Mytilus edulis: one gene and its partner. The main gene of each other region encodes a partner of the protein of the gene in region 2 in a complex. Links are inferred from orthologs where the notes say so. Each region holds a gene or a part of one and is shown on either strand. Other genes may lie near its edges. The genes, in order: exosome complex component RRP41-like and exosome complex component RRP4-like.

The links.
Region 1: exosome complex component RRP4-like (region 2) and exosome complex component RRP41-like share a complex: the UniProt entries of both Caenorhabditis elegans proteins name them as parts of the RNA exosome complex. The link is inferred for Mytilus edulis from reciprocal best matches to the Caenorhabditis elegans genes exos-2 and exos-4.1.

Annotation. Positions count from the first base shown.
Region 1 is NC_092351.1:28,690,861-28,694,791, forward strand, and holds the start of exosome complex component RRP41-like, read left to right. Parts: upstream 1-1,032; 5' UTR 1,033-1,087; coding exon 1,088-1,175; intron 1,176-3,261; coding exon 3,262-3,917; 3' UTR 3,918-3,931. Other genes in the region: general transcription factor 3C polypeptide 4-like, read right to left, coding at 847-960. UniProt on the Caenorhabditis elegans protein: Non-catalytic component of the RNA exosome complex which has 3'->5' exoribonuclease activity and participates in a multitude of cellular RNA processing and degradation events.
Region 2 is NC_092345.1:3,686,737-3,690,667, forward strand, and holds the start of exosome complex component RRP4-like, read right to left. Parts: upstream 2,186-3,931; 5' UTR 2,059-2,185; coding exon 1,943-2,058; intron 899-1,942; coding exon 797-898; intron 92-796; coding exon 1-91. Other genes in the region: uncharacterized protein, read left to right, coding at 2,263-2,334. UniProt on the Caenorhabditis elegans protein: Non-catalytic component of the RNA exosome complex which has 3'->5' exoribonuclease activity and participates in a multitude of cellular RNA processing and degradation events. Involved in regulation of antisense ribosomal siRNA production.

The DNA of each region.
Region 1 (3,931 bases), on a different chromosome or scaffold from region 2:
CCCGACAGGAAATCGCTTGAATACCTGCACGTGTCACCTCACACCCCTCACAATACCTTTGGAAGTAATACCTTTAGCCATGCTGGTGATCAGAAGAGGGAAGATCAAAATTTATTTGAAAACAGTTTTTAAAGAATTATGAACAAATTAGATTTTCGAAAACAATTTTCACGGAACACTTATTTATGATTTCAACTTTGACTTTTCACCTAATTCCAATATCAAGTTTAAAAACAACAGACCATGGTTAGTTAGTCGGATAAAACAACCGTACGATTGACAAGATATCGACACGCAATTACGACTACATCGGTTACTGTAGTTTTGTTTCTTTGTGGTTTATAGACATATCGTTTCATTAATCGGGAAAGAAGGACAAAATGGCGGAACGCAGAGAATTAATACCCTTAATTTAAAATCGATGGTGATCGCTTATCTAGCGGAATAAAACTTTAATATCTATGAATTTGAGCATTTTTATACAGAATGAACATAATATCAATTTTTGATTTTTTTACGAAGTTTCCCTTTAATACATTTCTATATATATGGTCTTTTTTTTCAAAAATATTCATTATACATGTAATCTCATAAATTCGTATATAATTTTAATAATATATATAAAGTGTTTTTTTATTAAAGTAAAAAAATAACAATCTACTAATCGTAGTCCGAGTTCGTTCAATATATTTCTGCATATAAATAATGGTAGGCCGAGTTTGTTATAGTCCGAGTTTGTTATAGGCCGATTTTGTTTTAGTCCGAGTTATCCAGCAGCGGACTCGCACTATAACTGTATAAGTCTTTAACCAAGAAAGAATATAAACATTTACTGAGACAATTTACCAAAAGTAAAACTCCATTATCTGTAGCAATTGCTACTGTGCCATCTTCCGACCAATCTAGAGCATTATAACTAGATATTTCGTGAGGAAAAAGAATTTTATCCCCTCCCGCCATCTTGAGGAGAAGTCCGAGTTCGAAATGATAGGTCTTTATTGATTGGATAATATCTCGATCTTAACCAATCAACGCTTCTTTTACAATTGTCGAGTTCAATTTCCATGCCGTTGTAAATATTGGGAGCATGGCAGGAGTGAATCTTTTGTCAGATCAAGGCTATAGAATAGATGGCAGAAAACCAAATGAATTAAGACGGATCCAGTGCAAATTAGGTTATTGATTTGTAATTTGACGCACTTCGTTTTGGATACACGAATCACTAGTCCGAGATTACTCTGACGTCCAACGGCTGTTTTCCCAGCTTGTCTGGCAAAACAGCCGTTGGACGTCAGAGTAATCTCGGACTTACGAATCACAAGAGGCCTTTAAATTCTCCATGTCATGTTTTTTTTTTAGAAGTTACGCCCCTTTGAAATTATTTGCTTCAATTCACCTCTGCAACAGTTTGTCATCACAACTTCTCTGAAACTACACAACAGAATTTCATGAACCTTTGTAGATAATAAGGACATACTATGCAGATGTGCATATCGACTGGAAATTATGATTCAATTTTTTTTCTTCAGTTACATTATTTTATTTCTGTTGGGACGTGGGGTATCTGAGCGCGCTCACTAAGGTTCTTTGAATTATTCAATTTTCTTCTGTCTGTATCTGTATCTGTATGTGTACGTTGAAGATACCAATTCTGGCTTTTACTCAACGGGAGAGAGAGACACCTATTGGCGGTGTTGGAGAGCAGCCTTGAAGCTCTCAACTGTATCTGCGCATACAATACGATCCTCTAGTTGGTTCCAATGTAGTACACTCTTGACGAAGAATGAGTTCTTATAGGGATCGGTGTTGCTTGGAATAGTATCTAGTGCCTTAGAATTGTTCTTTACTGAATTTGTCACTATATTGGCACATACAAAATTGTCAAATGTTTTAGGTTTGATTTTCCTCTTGGGTTTACTTTTAACAAGAAAATCGTCGGGATTAATAGCTGGGACCAACCCCTCAACCACTTTGTACAGAAATACTAGCCGTTGACTTGTTCTTCTTGTTTGTAGGTTGTCTAGTTCTAACTCGGCTAGCATTTTGGTGACCGACCCCTCTTCTCTAGACCTATAGTCGCCTGTGATGAATCTAGCTGCTCTGCGTTGTATTCTTTCCAATTGATTTATATCATGTTGTGTATATGGGTCCCATATTATGGCACCATATTCCATAGTTGATCGTACTAATGATATATATGCGGTCTTATTGCAATCTTTTGGGCAGAAGCGTAGATTTCTTCTTAGAAAGCCGAGTGTCGAATTGGCTTTCTTGGCAACGTTTGAGATGTGCGTGGTCCATTTTAGGTCTTCTGATATTTGTAAGCCTAGATATGGGTTGTGTTGGACTTGTTGTAGTACATGTCTGTCTAGGCTGTACATCTTCTGGCTTTTATTCTTAATGCTAAGTATATAGCACTTCTTTGCATTGAAGCGCATGCCCCAGTTTGTGGCCCATACTTCTAGGTTTTGGAGGTCTCGTTGTAGGAGTGTGTGGTCATGTTGACTATTTATGTTCCTGTACAGGAGGCAGTCATCTGCGAAAAGTCTGACAGATGATTGTACTGAATCTGGAAGGTCGTTTATGTGGCAGAGGAAGAGAAGGGGTCCTAGTACTGTACCTTGTGGTACACCGGAGTCAACTGAAGCTTCTTCTGATTCCTCCCCATCTACGACAGCTTTCATTTTCCTTTGGGTTAGGAACATCTCCAACCATTTGTTTAGTGGTCCTCTTATACCGTATTCGTTCATTTTGTGCAGTAGTTTGTTGTGCGGCACAGTGTCAAATGCTTTGGAGAAGTCCAGTATAGCTACATCAATTTGTTTTCCTGCGTCGAAGGCTTTCATGAAGTCGTGTAGTGTGACTAGCAGTTGGGTTTCACAGGAATAGCCTGACCTGAAGCCATGGTTCGTCATTCGTCATGCAGGGTACCCCATTCCTACCCTCATGTACATTTTGATTTAAATTATGTAACAAGACCCAAGTATGCCTGAATTAGACTTTTAGTTCATTTTAAAGGCCAACCTAGGCTTATAATTTTGAGGACAATAAGCTTGTGAATAATTCTTAAACTACAGGTATCACTTATCCTTTTGAAGACAAGAAAATGACAATAACAAAAAACAAAACATAAAATAAAAAGATCAAACGATAAAGTGTTATTATGAAAGTTGGTTGTAGTTGGAAGTTTAAGGACTTCATAACTTGTATATCATTATTTCATTGTAGTTAGCATAACAATTTTTTCTCTCTTTCCTTCAGGTGTATTCAAGCAGGCAGATGGATCAGCATACATTGAACAAGGAAATACAAAAGTGCTGGCCACAGTCTATGGTCCACATGAAATCAGAGGGAGCAGAGCAAAGCTGTTACTTGACAGAGTATTGGTTAACTGTCAATACAGCATGGCTACATTTAGTACTGGGGAGAGGAAACGTCGACCAAGAGGTGACAGAAAATCACAAGAAATGACAATGCATTTAAAACAAACATTTGATGCAGCAATTATGACAAATTTATATCCACGATCACAGATTGACATTTTTGTTGAAGTTCTCCAATCGGATGGTGGAAATTACTGTGCTAGTGTAAATGGGGCTACTCTTGCTCTGATCGATGCTGGTATTCCAATGAAAGACTTTGTTTGTGCTTGTTCAGCAAGTTTTGTAAATGATAATCCTATTGCTGATATAAACTATCTTGAAGAATCTTCAGGTGGACCTGAATTAATTGTTGCAACACTACCAAAATCTGACCAGATAGTTTTTCTTGAACAGAACTCGAGGCTCCATGAGGACAATCTGAGTAAAGTTATTGACTTAGCAGTGAAAAGTTGTAAAGATGTTTACACTGTCTTAGACCAAACAGTCAGGGATCATGTTAGTGAATTGTCTAATTCACATGGATGGGATCATTAAAATAAATTGCTTCA
Region 2 (3,931 bases):
ATCTAACTTTGATCTGGTATCTACTTTCCATCTCTTTTGTCCCACTTCTATAATTCTCCCAATCACAACATCTCCAACTTCACCATTATATCTATGGATTAACAAAATAATTATGTGTTACCACTTCTATAAACCTACCAATCAAGGGTGAAGGTGTTAATGTGCATGAAATAACCTACACATGATGTGTAACATAGACTTAGAAAAACATTGTATATCAAAGGGACAGTACTGTCACTGTTTTGCATATTTATAGATTAAAGATGAGTGTCAATGAAACAACTCTCTTATGACTAAGAAAAATAGCTGTAAACATGGCTTACAACATCCTATTCTCTTTCGACATGACTGACAAAAAACTTTTTTAGTACAGTACATATGTACCTTGAAATGAAAAATTGACATAGAGATATACAATGTATTAAAGGAACATTTCATTAGTGGTTGTTGTTTGCTGATGTGGTTCATAAGTGTTTTTTGTTTTTTATATAGATTAGATTGTTGGTTTTCCTGTTTGAATTGTTTTACACTAGTCATTTTGGGGCCTTTATATAACTTGCTACAATTTGGTGTAAGCCAAGGCTCTGTGTTAAGGCCTTACTTTGACCTTTAATTGTTTACTTTTAACAATAAGAAGAGCTGAACTTGGGCAATATACATGTACCTGAAAAATTATACACCTTAAAGCAAAAAAATCTTAGATAGAGAGTTGTCTTATTTGCATTCATTCCTCCTCTCTTTATTTCTGTTGTTGAAATAGTGAAAATAATCTGACCAATAAATTGCTAATGTTTACCTTGTTTTAAGAGGTTTTACACATATTAATTTGTTGACTCTCTCCACAACACCGGCTACTGAAGCATGAAGTTTCTCGTCCTCCATATACGTTCCATGACCACTGAAATTATGCCAATAAAATATAAAATATAATTATTTCTCAAGTACATATAAAGGCCAAATCGTTACTTTTTAAAAAGTTTTTAAGGGAGACAAAAAGAGCTGAAATTTCGCATTATAAATGTCCCTGAATAATAATACACCTTCAATACAGGCACTTGTATCAGAATTTTTTTTACTGTATACCTTTAGTTGTCATGATTATATAACACAAGGTACTGGCATTTTGAAAAAAATGTCACCCAGTCGCGAAATAGACAACTTTCGAGTTTGATGCATTGTCGTCAAAAACTCTGGTTTTAGTGAACACCATTTGTACGTTAGGTGCTTCGTCACTTCTGTTCCAATGCTGAGCAAGTGACCGGGAAAACTATAATGTTATATTGCACCAAAAATGTATTTTAATAATTGACAATCAGCACTGCTGTAATTAAGGAATTGTTAATAAGTACTTACAAAACAAACATTATTCTAGTTAATCCTGCATAATGACGATCACTGTATTACATACAAACAAAAATCAGGGGCGAACATGTGAGGTGTAAGCGTGTAGGGTATGACAGTGTATTGAGCGGGAACGGACCTGATAACATTCCTCAAAAGCAGTCGATTTTTTATCGTCTAAATGAAAGGGTACATTTTATTGTCATGAACCAAAAGTTACCGTTAGCCACATTTGGCAAGAATTTTTACAATAATCTATAGTGAAGGTTACTAAGTCTGGTACCTCCATTATAACTCTCTTGTATGATGTCAAAAGTTCAAGAGGCGTAGATTCTTGGGTCAAGCGGCGCAGCCTAGATTTCCAAATAGCGATAAGGTCTATAAAATTTCAATATTAGGACTACAATAACAGTGAAGTGAAATATTGATAACTATACTGCCTTCTCCTCTTTCCGGTGTATAAATGGGAATGATTATACTGATTTTTTTTAAATGATTTAGACAGCCAAAATGAATAATTCTAAATTATTCATTTTAAATAATCGACAAATAAAATTTATGTTCATTTCATGTTGTTCAAATATTGTCATCCATTTCCTACCGCATGAAACCAGTATCTGTAGTAATGACATCGCCTGGACACACAAGGTTCGATATTTCCTCTGTGAACTCTTGCTTTTGACGATCTCTGGCTCCAACAACACGAATATCAACCATGCTGCTTCCTTGCGGGTTTGTTTACAGCTCTCATCGTTTATGTTTTTATTTTTAAAGATTAAAAACTGGTTACTTCCAAACGTTCTGAGGACAACGACGTGAAATCTTATGTAAAATCCAGAGGATCATCGAAATTTTAGTCGGAATATTTGACCTTTCATTTTCAATGAAGAATCACGTTGTATAATTTCATCAAATTAAAAGATGACAGAAGAACAAGTTGCAGAAGCTCGTACTAGCAAGCTCGAGGAGCTGCTCATGCAAGATGAACCCGAGGTAATTAAAATCTACTTTATACAATACCATTCAATTGTCATGATTGTCAAATCACATTTACAAAGTTTTTTCACAGTTACATCATACAGGAACATAGATATACTGTTCCCAGCATCATATAAAAACAAGAAGGAGAGGCATGATTGCCAATGACACAACTCACTACAGGATGCCAAATGACACAAAAAATAACAACATAGGTTACAGTAGGCTAGTGAGTAGGGCCTTCAACAATACACCTTATCGCTAATCCCGGCTGACCCGGCCGGCCGCTTGAACTTTTGACGTCAACAACAATCACTTTTCCATTGTGGCGTCAGATATTTTGTTTTATGACGTCAAATTTTTACGGGAACCTGTGTGATTTCCAGCAATGGCGGACAAATAGCAATAAAGGTGTATAGGATTAGCCCTAGTCCAAATAATTAAGACGTCTGGCAATGCTTCGGTCGTAGGAAGGCGTCCCAGGATTAAATTTAAATAGCCTTGTCAGACTTCATATTTATTTGGACTAGATTAGCCCATACTGCATAGTCGGCAATAAAATTAAAAGTACTTGAGAAATGGGACACTCGAAGTGACAAATGTAAAACAATGCAAACATGAAAACAAACAACCTAATTTATTCACAAAAAAATAGCGAAAAAGCTAAGAGGTTACACAACAACAAATGTCAACCACTGAATTAAAGGCTCCTGACTTAGGGCAAGCACTATTTCAATGTTTTAATTATTGCGAAAAATGTAACCGGGTTATAAGGCCACACCAATTTGATCCCTTGTTCGACGGACCCGCCAGCACCTATTTTTTTCAAAACAGAATTTTTTTATTTTTTTTATATTCCCGCTTCCCGCATCCGGAATTGTAATCATGTCCATTTCCCGCACCGTTTTTTTTTTGTAAATATTATAAAAAGATATCAACATTTGTTAAATCACAGTGTAACCTGTATATAATGATTTTAAACATAAAAGCACCCCACCACACTGTGTAAATATCTGTGAGAATATTTGTTTCAGCATGAAACCTGGAGTGCTCCGATAAAAAGTTATAACAGCGGGTATTTCCGTGAAGAACAAAAAATTGGTTTCTTTCCCCCTTACTTATATTCCCTATCAAAAGATGTTCGTTGTTAGAATAAAGTACAAAGAACTTCTGAAGGATTTGCCTTCAACTGCAATTATATTGTATGCTCGCGAAACAAAACTATCCATAGCCGCTGCATGTTTATGCACCTGTCCTGATTGATTCAGGAGCATGTCGTTCAGCAGTTATCGTTTGTTGATGTTGATCATTGGTATTTTTTCGTTTGGATATATAAATTAGATCGTTGATTTTCCTGTTCGAATTGTGTACGCTACATGTAATAATTTTGGGGTCCTTTATAGCTTGCTGTTTGTTCTGTATCAAAGCCCTGTGTAAAAGGCTGTACTTTGACCTGTGTTTGTAATTACATTGTATCAGGTTGAGAACAACCCTCCCTCAGACAAGGGGTCATTTTACTGATGTAGAAAAGAAAATAGAAATACTAAGGATTTGTATAGTTCTGCTATATAAACCTTTGAACACGAATTTTGTACTCAAAAAGAGGAGAGTT